Saccharomyces cerevisiae S288C: one gene and its partner. Changing the gene in region 2 together with the main gene of any one other region gives a genetic interaction. Each region holds a gene or a part of one and is shown on either strand. Other genes may lie near its edges. The genes, in order: NTG2 and HNT3.

Evidence for each region.
Region 1: mutations in HNT3 (region 2) and NTG2 impair growth when combined (synthetic growth defect), as found in Saccharomyces cerevisiae (one study listed by BioGRID).

What each region holds. Positions count from the first base shown.
Region 1 is NC_001147.6:241,474-256,503, forward strand, and holds NTG2 (bifunctional N-glycosylase/AP lyase NTG2), read right to left. Parts: upstream 8,062-15,030; coding exon 6,919-8,061; downstream 1-6,918. Other genes in the region: LDS2 (Lds2p), read right to left, coding at 141-968, 1,032-1,274; serine/threonine protein kinase PSK2, read left to right, coding at 2,024-5,329; PEX15 (Pex15p), read left to right, coding at 5,677-6,828; NGL1 (RNA exonuclease), read left to right, coding at 8,352-9,443; rRNA-processing protein NOP12, read right to left, coding at 9,794-11,173; 40S ribosomal protein uS19 RPS15, read right to left, coding at 11,676-12,104; ribosomal protein P2 RPP2A, read left to right, coding at 12,824-13,144; YOL038C-A (uncharacterized protein), read right to left, coding at 13,453-13,548; PRE6 (proteasome core particle subunit alpha 4), read left to right, coding at 13,864-14,628. UniProt on the Saccharomyces cerevisiae protein: Bifunctional DNA N-glycosylase with associated apurinic/apyrimidinic (AP) lyase function that catalyzes the first step in base excision repair (BER), the primary repair pathway for the repair of oxidative DNA damage.
Region 2 is NC_001147.6:809,897-815,058, reverse strand, and holds HNT3 (DNA 5'-adenosine monophosphate hydrolase), read right to left. Parts: upstream 3,389-5,162; coding exon 2,735-3,388; downstream 1-2,734. Other genes in the region: GCD1 (translation initiation factor eIF2B subunit gamma), read right to left, coding at 1-1,075; proteasome regulatory particle base subunit RPT4, read left to right, coding at 1,351-2,664; CDC31 (centrin), read right to left, coding at 3,566-4,051; TRE2 (putative zinc metalloprotease), read left to right, coding at 4,376-5,162. UniProt on the Saccharomyces cerevisiae protein: DNA-binding protein involved in single-strand DNA break repair, double-strand DNA break repair and base excision repair.

The DNA of each region.
Region 1 (15,030 bases), 560 kb from region 2:
CAAATTTTTTATGCATATACAAATGTTGAAAAGAAACGAATATTATTAGCAAGTAATATATAGTATATAGTATATATATATATTTATATATGTAAACATATAATGAATATATAAATTGGTATGTAAAAGAGTTGCGAGCTTCATGGCGGATTAATGTGAGCTATAGATTGTTGGATTGGAGGTGCATAGGATCCTACAGTAGGCTCTTCTGGTTCCGCAGGAGGGGAAGGAGGTACGGCTGGCTGGTCCCGGTCTTTTATCTCTTTAACTATCCAAAGCGAAGCACCTACTGCGTTTGTTCCAATGAACAACCCACCCAGAATGGGAATAGACTCTAATAAACCGCTGGATATCGAGTAAAGGAGCCACTTGGCAAAGCCCTTGTAGTAAACTTTGGAAAGTTTGCGCGAATCCAAATGTAGCACGTCAACAAAATAAGGCTCAAAATAGTAAAATCCCATTCCGGGGCTAAATGGTAGCATATTGATTGTAATTGGACCCACTATTGGAACGAGCAACAATAAAAGAAACATAAAGGCTATGAAGATGTACCAGAAGAAAAAAATGAAAAACTGCGGCAAAGAGACGAGGTAAAACCGTTTCGAAAAGAGGCCACCCAAACGATGTGACCTTCTGTAGACAAAGGGCGTGAAACTTATCGTTTCACAGGCTTCACTCAACTCTGTTAATCCCTTTCTTGCGAACGTCACTCCATAAATACGTGTGAAAAGAACGAAATCGGTACCCTTCACCATAGAATTACATAGCGTTGTGGAAATCAGAATAGTTTGCATATAAGCCAGAGGTAACGCAAAGAGTCCGAGAAAGGGCAAATAGATGCACACTAACAAGGACCACGCAAGGATTGACGTAAACGCAACAATAAGCAGGAGATTCAGCAGGTAGTATCCAAATATTAGGAAAAATAGATGCAAATAATCCGAGTTTCCCACGGATTCGCTAATTCCCTTCAAAGGCGGTTAGTATGACGGCTTAAAAAACATGATCTGCTTATTGGAACATCAACATACTTTATACGGATACCAGATGATCTGGTGCGACGACTCTAGGTCTTTCCAAAAATTGTCTTTAACAAGCATAGCATTCTTGTACCATCGAACTATCGGAGCCTTGTATGCCATCCAAATTTTTGATTTCTTATGGTTCCCTTGGTCTTGGATGGGGAGTAATTGTGGTTCCTCCCCTTCTGCCAGTGGCGTAGAGGCATATGGATGTCTATGGTAATACCAATCAGGTTGGGGTCTAGTCGACATGTTTGCTTGGTGTCTTAGCAGCTCTTATAGTTCTAATGCTATAACTAAGAAAGTAATAATAATAATAATAAAAAGCTTTATATAATGTTTTATTATGGAAGTTTCGTTTTTGTGGCGCGACGCGATCAGCCAAAATCAGCGGAAAAATTCGTCGGAACATTTTTTTCTTTTTTGGCCAAGCTATTGTTACAGGTGGGGCAGGGGCAAGAGACGATATGTCATCGCGAAGCTGTAAAGACACTTGTCGAAGTGATAAAGCGCAAGAGCTGTTTGTCTACGGAACCAGCAAGTACTATCTAATAGCGTGTTCCAGAGAATAACAGCATTTTTCAACTTCTTTCTCCTGGTGTGAGTAATCAGTACGTGAAAAGAGAACGAAGTTAAAAAAAAAAACAAGAAAAAGAAACAAGATCAAAAGAAACGATAAAGGCTGGCTTATAAAATAATAGCATCGCGAACGATCAATAAGGGGCCCTGTTTATTTTTAACAAAGTTTACATATTTCGTTTTCCTCTTTAAGCTGACATCACGTCTATACCCTGTTTTATTCCTTGTTAGAAACATAACGGAGCAGGTAGTAACAACAACAGTATAAACTATCATAAACTTTTTTCCTTCCTTATTGGTGACTTTTAACACTTAGAATTCTAAGTCTGGCAAGAACAGTAATCATACTTCTTTGCAGGGCGTTTTATTGTTACTCCTCTGCCCTGCTAGATTAAAGTAAAGAATCATAAACAAAGAACACAATGACATACCCGGTTAGTGCAGCCGCTCCTGCCGACATTTCATATTCTAAAAATACCCCGTTGGTAGGGCTCTCTAAACCTCCATGCTTGTACCAACACGCTTCCTCGTCCGTCGATTCGTTTTCGTCAACATTCAGTGATGATGATCGTTCGGACCTTGTTGCTGTACCTAATGAGTCGCCGCATGCATTTTCGTATAATCCCATATCACCAAACTCACTGGGAGTAAGGTTGACCATCTTAAGAAGGTCTTTGGAAATAATGGTAAACAGTCCTGACATCTTACATGAGTTGAAGAAAAAAGCACCCGTAATAGCATACCCCCCCTCACTTAGACACACAAGAAACTTAACAGAGACTGCCACGTTATCAGCATCGCGAGATCCGTTAAATGGGTCTCTAATTTCACCATTAGTATCCAATATGCCATCTCCTGCTAGTAGACCCGTGATACAGAGAGCAACGTCCTTAATGGTGTTGCCTGATAATGATACTGCCAGTAAACTGAATCCAGCCAAGTCCGAGTTAGAAAACTTGTTATTCTTGCTAAATTTAGCATTGGAAAACAATTCCTTCGAAAGAGCTTCCGATTTACACATGCTATCGTTATTGAATATCAAGAAAATAAACTTTGATTCAGACATTCAAAAATCAGAAACTTTGAAAAAGGTTTTATTAGATAGTTTAGCAGAACCATTTTTTGAAAACTACAAGAAGTTCCCTCACAAAGATTTAGGTTCGAAATCGCAATATAATGAATATGAGGAGAAACACGATGATATAGTCTCCTTAGCAGACATCAAACCACAACAGGACTATAGCCGAATTCTTCATCCTTTCACATCTGCAAAAAATTCTGGTCCAGAGGCCATTTTTACATGTTCTCAACAATACCCCTGGAACTTCAAAGCTGCCAATGATTTGGCGTGTCTAACGTTCGGTATATCAAAGAATGTTATCAAGGCACTTACTTTACTAGACCTTATTCATACGGATAGCAGAAATTTTGTTCTAGAGAAAATCATGAATGCAGAAGATGATAACCAAGAAATTGTGTTTACCGGAGAAACTATACCTATCGTCCAGCCAAATTCGACAAGCAATAATAATGTACCAAATCTGATTTGGGCTTCACTATGGGCCAAGCGGAAGAATGGCCTACTGGTCTGCGTATTTGAAAAAACGCCTTGCGATTACATTGACGTCATGTTAAACTTGAGAGATTTTTCAGTGGACAGCATTATTGATACAACACACTTTCTGGAAAACTTTGACAAGAAAAAGCAGCAAGAATCAACTTCGCCAATGACAGAAAAGAAAACGGTAAAATTTGCAAATGAAATTCACGATATTGGGTCAGTAAGTCACTCACTGAGTAAACTAATTGATGATGTACGTTTTGGAAAAGTGTTTTCTGCAGATGATGATTTATTACCCTTGTCTATCAGGGTGGCAAATCATGTCAACGAAGAGAGATATTTTACGTTGAATTGTCTATCTGAAAATATACCATGTGCTGTTACAACTTCCGTATTGGAAAACGAAATAAAATTAAAAATTCATAGTTTGCCCTATCAGGCTGGGCTATTTATTGTTGACAGTCACACTTTAAGTCTTTTAAGTTTCAACAAATCAGTCGCCAAAAACATGTTTGGCTTGCGACTTCACGAGTTGGCCGGTAGTTCGGTTACTAAGTTGGTTCCTTCTTTGGCGGACATGATATCTTATATCAATAAAACTTATCCTATGTTAAATATCACATTACCAGAAAATAAAGGATTGGTTTTAACAGAACATTTTTTCAGAAAAATTGAGGCTGAAATGCATCATGATAAGGACTCGTTTTACACTTCTATTGGTCTAGACGGCTGTCACAAAGATGGTAATTTGATAAAGGTGGATGTTCAATTACGGGTCTTGAATACGAATGCTGTATTATTATGGATTACACACTCAAGAGACGTGGTCATTGAAAATTATACCACCGTTCCTTCGCAGCTACCGATGTTAAAGGAGAACGAAATTGATGTCGTTGGCAGTAGAGGTAGTTCCAGTGCATCTTCCAAGAAATCTTCGGAAAAAATTCCTGTGAATACTTTGAAGGCAATGGCTGATCTGTCGATTAGCTCCGCTGAAACGATTTCTAATTCAGACGATGAAGTAGACTTAAATCAAGTGAATGAAAAACTACGAGAAACTTCTTGCGGTAAAGTGAGAGGTATCGAATCTAATGACAACAATAACTATGACGATGACATGACAATGGTTGATGATCCTGAGTTAAAACATAAAATTGAATTAACGAAAATGTACACGCAGGACAAATCAAAATTTGTAAAGGACGACAACTTTAAAGTGGATGAAAAATTTATAATGAGGATAATTGAACCGATAAACGGAGAAGAAATCAAAAAGGAAACAAATGAGCTAGACAAAAGAAATTCTACTTTAAAAGCTACGTACTTGACTACTCCAGAGGCTAATATAGGCTCACAAAAGCGCATAAAGAAATTTTCTGATTTTACTATTCTGCAAGTGATGGGTGAGGGTGCGTACGGTAAAGTCAATTTATGCATTCATAACAGAGAACACTATATCGTGGTCATCAAAATGATTTTCAAAGAGAGGATTTTAGTAGACACATGGGTGAGAGATAGAAAATTAGGTACTATACCTTCTGAGATCCAAATTATGGCGACCTTGAATAAAAATTCCCAAGAAAATATCTTGAAGTTATTAGATTTTTTTGAAGATGACGATTATTATTACATTGAAACACCGGTCCATGGAGAAACTGGTAGTATTGATCTATTTGATGTTATCGAATTCAAAAAAGATATGGTTGAACATGAAGCTAAACTGGTGTTTAAACAGGTAGTCGCTAGTATAAAGCATTTACATGACCAAGGAATTGTTCATAGAGACATAAAGGACGAAAATGTTATTGTTGATTCTCATGGCTTTGTAAAATTAATCGATTTCGGTTCGGCTGCCTATATCAAGAGTGGACCATTCGATGTTTTTGTGGGAACAATGGACTATGCTGCACCTGAAGTCCTTGGTGGTTCCTCTTACAAAGGTAAACCACAAGATATTTGGGCTCTTGGTGTGCTACTTTATACCATAATTTATAAAGAGAATCCTTATTACAACATTGATGAAATCTTGGAAGGTGAATTAAGGTTCGATAAATCGGAACATGTCAGTGAAGAATGCATCAGTTTGATAAAAAGAATTTTGACAAGAGAAGTTGATAAAAGACCTACTATTGATGAAATATATGAAGATAAATGGCTTAAAATCTAGTTTTCCGTACTCTCCAAGATAAAGGGAAAGAATAATTTAATCCATTTTCATAACCATTTACCTTCATAAATGTTCTATTCTTTTTTTGGCTATATATTAATTACATTTTTAATATCATATCATTGCTCTATATCCTTCTTGTCCAGCCTCTATGCAGTATTTTCTTTCATTCTATTTTGGGGCAAACTTCTGCGCTGAGCGGCTTATCGCCGTCGGAGTGACATCAAGTACCATAGAAAAGTCATCGTAGACTTACATATTTAGGCAAGAGAAATAGTTAGGTAAACAGAAAGAGGCACTAGCAGAACGTACTACGGTGTGGTTTATACAAGAGGGTTCTGTGAATAATGGCTGCAAGTGAGATAATGAACAATCTGCCTATGCATTCCCTCGATTCTTCTCTAAGGGATTTACTTAACGATGACTTATTCATTGAAAGTGATGAATCGACCAAGTCGGTAAATGATCAGAGGAGTGAAGTATTTCAAGAATGTGTGAACCTTTTCATAAAAAGAGATATCAAGGATTGCCTAGAAAAAATGTCTGAGGTTGGATTTATTGATATTACCGTTTTCAAGTCCAACCCTATGATATTAGATTTATTTGTCAGCGCCTGTGATATTATGCCCAGCTTTACCAAATTAGGTTTAACACTGCAGAGTGAGATTTTGAATATTTTCACGTTAGATACCCCTCAATGTATTGAGACAAGAAAAATTATTCTCGGTGACCTCAGTAAACTTTTGGTCATCAATAAATTCTTTCGATGCTGTATCAAGGTTATTCAGTTTAACTTAACTGATCACACCGAACAAGAAGAAAAAACTCTGGAGCTTGAATCCATAATGAGTGATTTCATTTTCGTATACATAACGAAAATGAGGACAACTATAGATGTAGTTGGCTTACAAGAATTAATCGAGATATTCATCTTTCAGGTGAAGGTAAAACTGCATCATAAAAAACCCTCACCGAATATGTATTGGGCGCTTTGCAAAACATTACCTAAGTTATCTCCAACCCTAAAGGGCCTTTACTTATCTAAAGATGTTTCCATAGAGGATGCTATTCTGAACTCAATAGATAATAAAATACAAAAAGATAAGGCGAAGTCTAAAGGTAAACAAAGAGGAGTGAAACAGAAAATACACCATTTTCACGAGCCTATGTTACACAATAGTAGTGAAGAACAGGTTAAGGTTGAGGATGCGTTTAATCAACGCACCTCTACTGATAGTAGACTCCAGAGTACTGGAACGGCGCCCCGTAAAAAAAACAATGATATTACTGTTCTGGCTGGTTCATTTTGGGCTGTCCTGAAGCATCATTTCACAAGAAGTGTGCTGAACAAAAACGGACTTCTGCTCACAGGTCTGCTGCTACTCTTATGTTTGAAAAAATATAAGTCATTGATGGCAATTTTCAAACATGTTCCAGCGGCCTTTCACACTGTATACCCCCAGATTGTAGGGTTGCTAAAACTTCTAGCGAGTATATGAGAAATATTTGAATAGTTTATAAAACCCTACCTACTTATTTTAATGACATACATAATGGTTTTTCATCTTTTTCCACAATGAATGGTGGTTCTATTTTTTCTTGTGTCTTTCTGTTGTAATTCCATTTGTAACCGTGTCCAACCAATGCGAATATACTTTCTCGATGTCTTCTTTGTCCTCCAATTGATGAAATTTGGAAGATTCGATTAGCTTCTCATTGCGAGCATTGCAGACATCGTTTGCTAGACATAAATCACACCTCTTACCCCTGGCCATGCAGATCAATTGACCAAATCCAACCAAAACGGTGTTTATTTCGTACCACAGTGAGTGAGGTAGCCAAACCTGTAACTCCTTTCTAGTATGCTCGGCAGTCTTACACTTAATAGGGTCTACCCAATTCCACATTTTACACAGCCTATGGACATGAACATCGACGCATATGCCGGCAATCAGCCCCCAACCTTTTTGCAGTGTTAAATATCCCATTTTAGGTCCAACTCCAGGTAACGAGAGAATTCCCTCTATATCATACGGTATATCTGAATCGAAATTGTCTACCAATAATTGTGCGGTTCTTTTGATGAAATTGGCTTTTCTGGTATAGAAGCTAACGCATCGAATTAGATTTGCTAATACAGGTTCATCAATTTTAAGCAGTCCATCTAGCGTAATACCCTCTGCTATTTTTAATGTGTTTAAGCAGTATTCGGTGATATTCAAAGCCGCTTGCGCCATCCTTTCGTCCCTCGTTTGAGCAGAAAGCATAGTGCCAATAAGAAATTGAAGCCTGAAATTCTTTGGATCGACTTTTTCACTAGGTATCCCACATTTATTAGAAACTAAAACAGGAATCATGCTACATCCCATAGCATCTACCGGGGTTTTAACCTTGGACCTCATTAATCTCACCCGATTATATATGGGTAAGAAACTCTCAGGAACTTTCGCCCCAGAATCGTTAATCATTTCTTCTTTAGTTATTGGCCGTCCCCAAGTTCTCGGATCATCACAAGTCCTTGATTCGATCCATTCAAAATACTCTATTGGCTTCAGTGCCTTGATCCAGTCAATATTTACTCCGCCGTAATTTTGCAAATCTTTATTGATTTTATTTTCTTTTACTAACTCAACAGTTCTCTCATTCTTTTTGAAATACTTAGATCGAACTTCTACCTCTTCAATATCAACAGGAATATGCTTTCTCTTCCTAGACCTACTTTCCTCTCTCATTATATACTGTGAAAGACGTTGTGCTTATACATTTTTTGTGTGCTCCCAATAAGCAACAGATTCAAAATGCTAAAGAGGTCCTTGCCTTCCTTCCTTTCTACTACATGTATATTCCCAAGTTAGGATAACTGCTTCACCAGCTGATTTTGATTTCTCGGCAACAAAACTAACAAATTAACCATGAGTTGTTTAATTGTTCCTGTTAGAGAAGAAAGGAGATCTACACAAACTAAGCTGGATAACGGCAAAAAAGAACATTGGAGAGAGATTTACTGCTCATACAAGTAACAATGTTTACTCGAAGGTTTATTCCAGTTGTTCAGTCAACTAAGCAAAACATCGGTAAATATGTGCGAAAAGATGCTAGGTTCACTTTATTAACATACAACATGCTCTCACCGTCATATATGTGGCCACAGGTATACACATACGTTGCAGAGCCATACAAAAACTGGAGTTATAGGCACAGACTGCTGGAGAAAGAACTTTTGAATACTTTCAAGGCTGATATTATGTGTCTCCAAGAAATGACCGCAAGAGATTATGAAGATTATTGGCACGATTCCATAGGGGTAGATGTCAATTATGGGTCCAAATTCATTTCCAAGACACCCCCAAAGTATTGGAAAAAACCGGTTAAAGATATGGACGGTGTATCTATTTTCTATAATCTTGCAAAATTTGACTTTATATCGTCATCAGGGATCTACTTAAACCAGCTACTGAATGTTTTCAATCAAAGGGAACTGAAATACTTATACAATAAGAAGGTAACATTAACCGATGGTGCTTCCAATGTTATTGGTGAAGACAGCTTATTGGATGTTTTAAAAGGCAAGAATCAGGTATGCTTATTCGTATCTCTAAGACATAAGGAGACGGGTACTATTTTTGTCGTTTTAAATACTCATTTGTATTGGAAATATGACGAAGTTAAGCTAACACAATGCATGATTATAATGAGAGAGTTATCAAAGATCATTAAGCAGCTCCTACCGGGAGATGTAAAAGGCCAAGAAAGGGTGAAGATTTTATTCACTGGTGATCTAAATTCTACAAGAGATTCGCTAGTTGTTAATTTTCTGCAAGGTCAGATAGTTAGCCATGGAGACCTTAATCTTATTAACCCAATGAGGCCGTATTTGGATCGTTGTGTCTATGACGATATACCAAAGGATTATTTTGTACATACGTGCTATTCAGGAAAATTGAAGGGCATCTTTGATTACGTATGGTACCATGATTCAGATTTTTTACTAACTAAGATCCTAACCGGTAATGAAGTATCAGACGAATTGCTAGCGTCTAATCAGTTGGGTTTACCCAATGAAAACCATCCTAGTGATCATATACCTCTACTAACAGAATTCAAAATACTGTGAGGCATTACTATCTTGCCTTTTTTGTGCTTTTTTTCTTCATTCCTTGTTTTATTTTATTTGTACCTCTCTTATAACCTTGTTATCATACTTTTTATTCATTTCAAATATTCTTTCCATTATTGCAGTATTCTTTAAGTAATATTCCGAACGTGTTCCATAATTTGGGTATGAATGTATTTATAGAAATATATAAAACGCATGATTTTTCTTTTTTATATGTATATTATACTATTAGAACTATGTAAAAAAATGCCAGCATGTATAGAGGAAGCTACAAGAGATAAGAAATAACTAGTAATAATATACAGTGTATCTCTAACAAAATTGATATTGTGTGAAAACTAATGAAACTATTTCTTGCTCTTTTCAGCTTGAGCTTTCTTGAATGCTATCGATCTTTTGGTAACCCTACCTGTAGCGGATCTTTGTTTCTTCTTTTTTAGATGGGTGGAACCTTCGCCTTTCTTTGCTCTTAAACCTTCGATAGTTATCTCTTGGCCCAAAGTGGCTCTATCAGCCTTACCTAAAATCTTTTTAGCTCTACCTGCTCTGGTTCTTTGTGAATCTGTCAACCCATTTCTATCCAAGCCGGTCCCAATAGTAGTACCCTTCTTCATGTTCTTACATCTGGAAACACGCAATTTTCTTGCCTTTTTAGTTGGTTTCTTTGTATTTTCGTCTTCTTGTTTTTGTGACTTCATAGGCTTTTCGTTCAATAAAAGTGCTTTGTTTACACTTTGTAAATCTTTAAATTGAACATAAGCAAATCCCTTACCCATATTTGTCTTTGAATCTCTGATAATACGGACATATTCAATATCGCCACATGGTTCAAAATGTTTCCAAAGACTTTCTTCTATTTCTTCAAAATCCAAGTTACCTACAAAGATTGAACGCTTCTTATCATGCGGAGCTGGATGAGCAACTGAATCAACTCTTAAGTGATGATCTTGGAAAACGACAGCATTCAAATTCGAGCAGATTTTTCTTACAGCAGACTTATTCTTATAGACGATGTAAGCGTTTATTGTATCCCTTGACTTATGAAATTTTTGTTGGACAAACGCAACTTTTCTAGGAAGAGCTTCATCAAAGGAAATAGATCTGAATCTTATGCTTTCAATGGCAAATTCGTTATTGTCACTTTTCTTAGAACTTTCCTCTTCTTTTTCATTACCAGATTCCTCAGTTTCTGCTATCGGATTTGTACCAAAAAGTTTTTTGAATTCTTTATAAACCTTTTTAGATGTGATGACAGTACTTAAGATGTTACCAATGAAAACAGTTCTTTCTGCCTTTTCTAACTCGTCTTCTTTGAAATCAACTTTCTTAGCTGCTGATGTCAGTGGTACTGAAGTTTCATCAGTTTTCGTTACTGTTGGTTTATCATCCTCAGCCTCAGCTTCTTCATTTAGTAGTTTCGCATAATAGCGGGCTTCTAAGTCTTCATCCTCGTCATTCCTTTTACTTTTTTTGGCCTTCTTTACTTTTGGAAGGGCAACTTCTTCAGTTTGCTCATCTGAAACATCAGGTTTGCTTGCTTCTTTTTCTTCTTGATCAGCTTCGGCAGCTCTTTCCCTTTTCTTCGAATCAGGAAGGACAGTACGTGTTTTGCTTTTGACTTCCAATTTATTAATAGGTCCACAGGATGAACTAAATAGCTTATCTACTGAAGATTCTATTTTTTTCTCATCAATGTTACCAAAGAGATTGTCAATTGCAGAGGACATTTTTCACTTTAAAATTTATAGCGTGATAATCTGGTGGATGATATGTCGACTGTTTTCTTAATAAAGTGCCTCAAGCTATCTACCTTCAATATAACAGTTTAAAATTTAGACAAGCAAAAAAAAATTGCGATGAGCTTGAAAAAATTTCGAAGTTCGTTTTAAGTGATCAATATATCAAAGAAAATAGAAAGTTGATGAAAGTAGTCCGTGACAGTAAATGAAGCACTTGAGTTGAGGTTTCACGTCCGCTTACAATATATATCATATATGAGGACGAACATTTACAGTAATGATGGAAGGCAATTTAAAAGCTGTCTGCGGAAACAAGTGCTATTGTTGCTTTCCGTGTACAACCCCCATTCACTTCATAAAAGAAATTAAACAAATATAATATAATAGATTATAATAATAATACCAATAAACAAAAATTTTATTTTCCTAATACCTAGACATTATATATAAAAAAGATACAAGGATGACTGCGATTCTGTTATTAGGGAGCTTATTTCAATGGGATGAAACGGGAAGTAGTAGCACCGGCTCTACCATGTCTGACTGGGGTGTAAGTAATGGAGAATTCACCCAAATAGTGACCCAACATTTCTGGTCTGATTTCAACTTGGTTGAAAGCCTTACCGTTGTAGATACCGACGACGGAACCGATCATTTCTGGAACAATGATCATGTTTCTCATGTGGGTTCTGACTGGAGCTGGCTTTTCATTTTCTGGGGCAGCCAACTTGGCAGCTCTCAACTTCTTCATGAAACCGGCTGGCTTGGAAGTCATACCACGGGCAAATCTTCTTCTAACTCTAGCTGGGGCCAACTTGACGAAATCTTCAGTGGACATTTCCAACAATTTTTCCAAATCGACACCTCTGTAAGAGTGGGTCTTAAAAACTCTCTTCTTGGCATTAACAGCTTGAGACATGATCGGTCGTGATTATCTTGTTGTGTACTTCTAGTTCGTCTTATTCTACAATGTAAGGATAAGCACTAACAAATAAGAAAAAAATGAAATCCAAGAACAAATAAAAGAAGAGACCATACCATAATGTGAAACTCTGCACAAAAGATTAAAAAGGAATAAATTGATTGCGGATAGGAAGGGCCAAGCAGACGATTACGGTGTTGTCTCGCAGCTTCCCAGCAAGGAGTTTCTCAGAGAACCTACTCCGAGTGAAACGGACGGAAGAGACCTTCCAAAGAGAAACGAAAATCGGTTCTAGGAGGACGCTCCCTCTAAGTGTCTAGGCCCGTGTTGGGCGGAACTGCCGCCCAACACGGTTTCCGGGACTATACGCCCAGACATAACATTGATTTATACGCGCGGTGTACGGATTAAAAAAGTTTTGTACCTGTTTTGAGGCTGTAACTCATGGCAGCCGAGGGGAATACCAGGGGAGAGACTATACCGGACGATATGCGGAAGACGCGCGAAACGTGAAACATTTTGCATGGAACTCCAAAGCGTTGATACCCGCTTGAAGTTTAGTTAACCTAGTAGCGGAGAGCCGTTATTATTCGAGGTTTTTCAATTGTTACTTCTGGTAATTTCTACTTCCGTTTATTCAAAAGCTTTTTCTATTATTTTAGTGATTTTTTTCTCATTGGAAATTCATACACAACAACAGAACCAATCATACAAAAATGAAGTACTTAGCTGCTTACCTATTATTGAACGCTGCTGGTAACACCCCAGATGCCACCAAGATTAAGGCTATTTTGGAATCCGTCGGTATCGAAATCGAAGACGAAAAGGTTTCCTCCGTTTTGTCCGCTTTGGAAGGTAAGTCTGTTGACGAATTAATTACTGAAGGTAACGAAAAGTTGGCTGCTGTTCCAGCTGCTGGTCCAGCTTCTGCTGGCGGTGCTGCTGCTGCCTCTGGTGATGCTGCTGCTGAAGAAGAAAAGGAAGAAGAAGCCGCTGAAGAATCTGACGACGACATGGGTTTCGGTTTATTCGACTAAGGTTGAGTAAATTTGTGCAATCTCGTTATATCATATCTTGGAAGTTATAGAGGGAAGGGCGCAAAAATAAACCCTTTCCTCTTTTTTACGGCGACCATACTCTTTTTTTCCTAATCCTTTTCAAGTTTAAATCCATGATTTAATATCTATTTATACATATAAATAATATAAGTAATGGTTTAATGCATTGTTTCAAAAAAAAAATAAAAAAAAAAGGGAAGAAATTATATATAAATATACTTCTTCATCTTCAAAATTCAAACCGATTGTTTTACTGGTTAGAATATTATGTGTGCTCTTTCTTTGCTCTATGACATGGCTCTGTTTTGTACCTTCCTTTTTTTTATGCTATTGAATAAATTTGTTGTAGCCGCTTTCCTCAGGAAGGACCCCATGTATTTCATCAAATCATATAAGTTGAATATCCCATCAATTGCGTACCTAGTACTTAAATAAAATACTCACGTCGCTTTCTTTGAATATTTGGAAATGAATTGAGACCTAGTGTGCTGTGTGCCCTTGTTCATTGACGATTAAAGCTTTAAGGACCATTACTATGGGTAAGAATATCATCCGGGCAACGGTATTTCTTAATCTTTTCGAAGATTCTTTTGCCACCGGAAGGGAAAGAAAAGACATCATATATAGGTGGTAGCAAAACCTTCAAGTTAGTGCTCAGCAGTTCATCAGGATCAGTTGCATAAACACAATTACACAAAATGAGTGGTTACGATAGAGCTTTGTCCATTTTCTCCCCAGATGGACACATTTTCCAAGTGGAGTACGCCCTGGAGGCGGTAAAGAGGGGTACCTGTGCTGTAGGTGTCAAGGGTAAGAATTGTGTAGTATTGGGCTGCGAAAGAAGGTCTACTTTGAAGCTGCAAGACACTAGAATTACGCCTTCCAAAGTTTCCAAAATTGACTCGCATGTGGTGTTGTCATTTTCTGGTTTAAATGCAGATTCCAGAATTCTTATCGAGAAGGCTAGAGTGGAGGCCCAAAGTCACAGACTAACGTTGGAGGATCCCGTGACGGTGGAGTATCTCACACGTTATGTCGCTGGTGTGCAACAAAGGTACACGCAGTCAGGAGGTGTTAGACCATTTGGTGTGTCGACGCTGATTGCCGGCTTCGACCCGAGAGATGATGAACCCAAGCTTTACCAGACCGAGCCAAGTGGTATATACTCTTCGTGGTCCGCTCAGACCATTGGGAGAAACTCCAAGACGGTACGTGAGTTTTTGGAGAAGAATTACGATCGCAAAGAACCACCAGCCACAGTGGAAGAATGTGTCAAACTTACTGTAAGATCTCTGTTGGAGGTAGTTCAAACAGGTGCAAAAAATATTGAAATCACTGTTGTTAAGCCGGACTCAGATATTGTTGCGTTGAGCAGTGAGGAAATTAACCAGTACGTCACCCAAATCGAACAAGAAAAGCAAGAGCAGCAAGAGCAGGACAAAAAGAAAAAATCTAACCATTAAAAACGGCGATATATATTGGGCATAAAACCTATATAAAATAACAGCAATAATAAAAATGCAAAATATAACATAGCACGGTATAGTTAGCTCATATATGTTTTAACGAGCCTTACATTATATCATTTAATACGATCTCATGTTTTTCGGATTTCGGATCTCGCCAAGAAAACTTGCTGATATAGAATGGAATGGAATGACTTCAAAAACTGCCCACTCATAAAGTTTGCTTCTTTAAATTGAATATATATTCACAGTCCGATTTGAAAAGCTTACCATCTGCCACACGCATTCTACTCCCTAATTTCCACACACAGTGTTTTTGTTTCTATAAAGAAAAAGAAAACCAAAATACTGTACTTTTTCCCATAATTTTCTTTCCATACGCCTATATGCCCATACTTT
Region 2 (5,162 bases):
ATTTATTACAGTTTATTGGGTCCAAGATGAGATCATTCTTTTTTTTGAAGTAGGTAGGCTGGATAGATGTAGCCGAAGGTTTGTAATCATCGTCATCATCATGATTGCGATCTTCATCATCATCAGTAGTAGGAGGGTTTTGCTGTTGTTGGTTTCCAGTAAATGGATCTTTGAATGAAGCTTGTCTTGACATTGATTGAGGTCCTAATTTTAACAACTGGCAAAGTTCAAAGGAACAAAAGTAGATGAATGAGTTCAGTAACTTAGTGGATACTGTTAAATTTGGATAGTTCCATAATAAATGAGATCTGATCTGTAGATATTTTGTCTTTGTGACGTCCCTTTGAGAATAAACGTCCAAAAGTATTGGCTGCCTCTCTGAGTCTTCGTTTTCTGAATAAACAGTGAAAAATTGCTGTTGTTTTTGCTTTTGCTGTTGCTTTTTATCGATACTACTATCTAAAGAGTTCTTATAGTAGATAGTCATTGCTAGGTTATTATCATCCCTATTCCTAAATTGATCGACCAAGACTTGTGGAGGTATATCTGTGACAAAATCACAGGGCAAGATTACAAAATCGCCATTGATTCTAGGCAAAAGCTCTTTTTGCAAGGACTCACCTGTAGAATTTGCCTTCGAAGGGATGAAATTAATTTTCTTAGGATCTTGCAAGTGATGACTGTGGTTGGAATTTGACAAAGCCTTGTATATTAGTTCAAATTGTTGCTTTCTTAGGGACAAAAACGAAGTCAGTCCACTTTCAATTAATTCGATTTCGTCAACGGGTGCGACCACACTGATTTCTTTGAAATCTGCCTGATCACACCAATCCAAGACGTATTCAATCATAGGTCTATTACCGATGGGCAAAAGAGCCTTGGGCAAGCGCGTTGAATGTTGCATGAACTCATTTATGACAGTTGAATCGAGGGCGCTATTGACCAACTCATTAAGTTTGTCACCGCTCGTGGCAGCTGTACTGTCTTTGTTCTGCGTTTGGAATGGAAAATCTGGCTGGGTGAAGGGAGCCAAATTGGAACCTTTACCGCAAAAGACAAAAGCCTGAATTGACATGACTACGACAATAGGGGGGGGAGCTATCAACGGTGGGAACTTTTGGTCAGCACAGCGTTCAGCATTTTCTGTTGCATCGTAAAGTGCTTGATTGTTATATTTCAATATAGTGATGAGAAGTGAAAAATTTTGCGATAGGCGGGTGACCTTTCAAATAGTGGAATTTGCCACCGAAGGGAAAGGAAGCTTGAAATACCATAGTGAAGTAAATTAAATCTAGTACCTCGCACCGGTTCCAAAGATAACAGACGAAGCAAAGATATTAATAACTAAGAATGAGTGAAGAACAGGACCCTTTATTAGCAGGATTGGGGGAAACGTCCGGCGACAATCACACCCAACAGTCACACGAACAACAACCAGAACAACCACAGGAAACGGAAGAACATCATGAAGAGGAGCCTTCTAGAGTGGATCCTGAACAGGAGGCCCATAACAAGGCCTTGAATCAATTCAAGAGAAAGCTGCTAGAACACAGAAGGTATGATGATCAATTGAAGCAGCGCCGTCAAAATATACGAGATCTAGAGAAGTTATATGACAAGACTGAAAACGACATAAAAGCTTTGCAAAGTATTGGACAATTGATTGGCGAAGTCATGAAGGAATTATCTGAAGAGAAATATATAGTGAAGGCCTCTTCGGGCCCACGTTATATTGTCGGAGTTAGGAATTCGGTAGATCGCTCTAAATTAAAGAAAGGGGTGAGAGTCACCTTAGATATCACCACTTTGACTATAATGAGAATTTTGCCCAGAGAGACAGATCCACTGGTGTATAATATGACCAGTTTTGAACAAGGTGAAATCACTTTTGATGGTATTGGTGGTTTGACTGAGCAAATCAGAGAATTAAGGGAGGTTATAGAATTACCATTGAAGAACCCAGAAATTTTCCAGAGGGTCGGTATCAAACCTCCAAAGGGTGTGCTACTATATGGTCCCCCTGGTACTGGTAAAACTTTACTAGCGAAGGCAGTTGCTGCTACGATTGGAGCCAACTTCATTTTCTCTCCAGCGTCTGGTATTGTGGATAAATACATTGGTGAGTCTGCTCGTATTATTAGAGAAATGTTTGCATATGCAAAGGAACACGAACCTTGCATCATTTTTATGGATGAAGTGGATGCTATTGGTGGTAGAAGATTCAGTGAAGGTACTTCAGCAGACCGTGAAATTCAACGTACGTTGATGGAGTTGTTGACCCAGATGGATGGTTTTGATAATCTTGGACAGACTAAAATCATCATGGCTACGAATAGACCAGATACTTTAGATCCTGCTTTGTTGAGGCCCGGTAGACTAGACAGGAAAGTTGAAATCCCATTGCCAAATGAGGCCGGCAGATTAGAAATTTTCAAAATTCATACTGCAAAAGTCAAAAAAACAGGGGAATTTGACTTCGAGGCTGCTGTAAAAATGAGTGATGGTTTCAATGGTGCTGATATTCGTAACTGTGCAACTGAAGCAGGTTTTTTCGCCATAAGAGATGACCGTGATCACATCAACCCTGATGATTTAATGAAAGCCGTAAGAAAAGTAGCTGAAGTTAAGAAATTGGAAGGCACTATAGAATACCAAAAATTATGATGTTAAAAAGACATGTGTATGTATAGGTATGTGTATATCAGTAACAAAAAGAAATGCGAGAAAGCTTGCCTTATTTAAGCTCGAAATGGCTATTGAACTCTAGTTCTAAATGCTTTTTCAATAAGCTAAATTTATTACTAAAATTTCGCTGACAATAGCAGCAAAGTAAATCGTGTTCTTTCAGGTACGTAGTTTCAATTTCCTTGTCAGTGCCCAAATTTTTTCCGTTCAATGGTAAATCGTCCCAACTAATGAAGAATCCAGTATTAAATGAATTATAATGTTTTTTGTTCTTCAATCTTACCGAATGGAAATCTTTGGATATGACGTGTATATGTAAGTTGGCCATCGAAGGCACGCTGTGTATCCCAACTTGTACAAAATTTCTTACAAACTTGTTTTTGTCTTTTAATATGTCATCCCAGCAGGGGTCTTTGTCATCATCACTCTTCTTTATTCGGAACTTTTCTTGAAAATGCCTAAAGATGTGGTCAATCGCAGAATTAACGTATGATTCAAACTCATTCTTAAACTTAGCATCAATCACTTTAGTAGGATGACTTCTACTCAGCTGCATAGTTCGTGGTAGAATCAATAAATGGCACTCTGATTTAGGAAACGAGTCTCTAATTATGGACACTTTATCATCAAAGTATGTGACTGTATCATCGTTTACCGTTTCTGGGCTGGTAACGTAGTTTTTTAACGCATACCTCCATGACATTTTTCAGTGTTTTGTTTTATTGTCTTCTCTTATTGTTGCCCTGCAGGATTAGATTGGCTTTTTCACTTTTAAGTGCATCCTTGGGCAAGATGTAAGTTAAAACAGAAAACGAGAGACCCACGGGAGTATACTAATATAGTTACAAATCATTTTTATAGATTAAATATATAGTCATAATTAACTATCGGTGCAAATAGCTATAAATTCGTTTTCATTAATCTCGCCATCACCATCCAAATCAAACTCTTCAATCATCGCTCTCAGCTCTTCATCCGTCAAAGTTTCTCCTAATTCTTTAGCTACACGCCTCAAGTTTTTAATACTTATTTTCCCAGTATGGTCGTCATCAAATAATTGGAATGCCCTTTTTATTTCATCTAACGGATCTCTCTTCAATATTTTTTCCCCCATTACAATATAAAAATCATCATACTTCATCAAATGCCGCCCCTCACTATCATATTCATCTATTAAGTCAAGTATTTCTCTCTTGGGTAGCTCAAATCCCAGGGCCTTCATTGCTACTTTCAACTCGTGGTAATCGAGGAACCCATCATTGTTCATATCGAACAATGAAAACGCCTCATATATTTCTTGCTTTTGCTCCTCCAATAACTCGCTATTAAGTGGACCAGACTGTAGCGATGACCTGTTCTTACTCATACTGTATGATTTATTTCCGTTTCTTCTTTGGTTCACTTCCTTTCTCGTTTAATAAATCTCTTCCATACTTACTAATTAGGATTCTTCTTTTTTTCTCTCTATTTCGCAATAGTTAAGCCTCCAAAACTCTTGGAAATTTAGTAGATAAAATTACGGCATCAGGCAAGAACTAGTTAAGCAAGTACTTCCTGCATCATTAAAGTTGTTCTTTTCCTAAACGCCTCTCAATACTAGAGAAATACATCAAGCTTTGGGTTATTTGAAATCTGTAACTAATTTGCAAACCAAGATAATACCCCCGGGTATTGAGATCAAGTAATTTTAATGAGGAGCAGTTATCAACCAGTGTCAACTACAAACTTTGAACATGAAAATGCTATACCTACTGCGTCGTCGTCCCATAATCTGTTGATGAGCCAGCGTTTTGATGATTCTCCTCCTAGTTCTAACGACAACAGTATAGAAACTAATATAACGCCTCCACCTGAACCACCTTCTTATGAATTTGATATAGAGGACCCTCACGATGATCTTCACAAAAGAACACATCTACAGAGGGTTTCAATTGGGTTTCAGGAAAAAATTTTGGAACCCTTAATGGAAAACATCATTCATCCACTCTTACAAATATCAAAATTCGTTCCAGACAAAGCTGACTATTACTTAAGTAAAATCGGAAATCCCTTTATACTTCGAAGGTTCTTTTACATCATTTTCATGTCATTTATTGCATATTATGTCTTGTCAAGTGGCTACTTATTCAACGAAAAGGCATCAGGATCTAAAGGGATGTTTTCTCAACACGATATACTTTTTGAATATGCCAAAAAATCCGTGGATTTGGCAAAGTTTGAGAGAGATTTGGAATATATTAGTAGCATGCCTCATGGATCCGGAACGAAGGGTGATGCAGCTATTTATCGATACATTCAGGAATCTTTTGACAACAATGGGTTGAAATTGGTTAAAGAAATGGGATACTCAGTTTATTCTAATTATCCAGGCAATGTATCAATTTCATATTATGATAACAAGAATGAAAAGCATGATCTAGAACTTTCTAAAGAAAATTTCAATCCGTTGAGTTCTAACGGGAAATTATCCAAAGTGA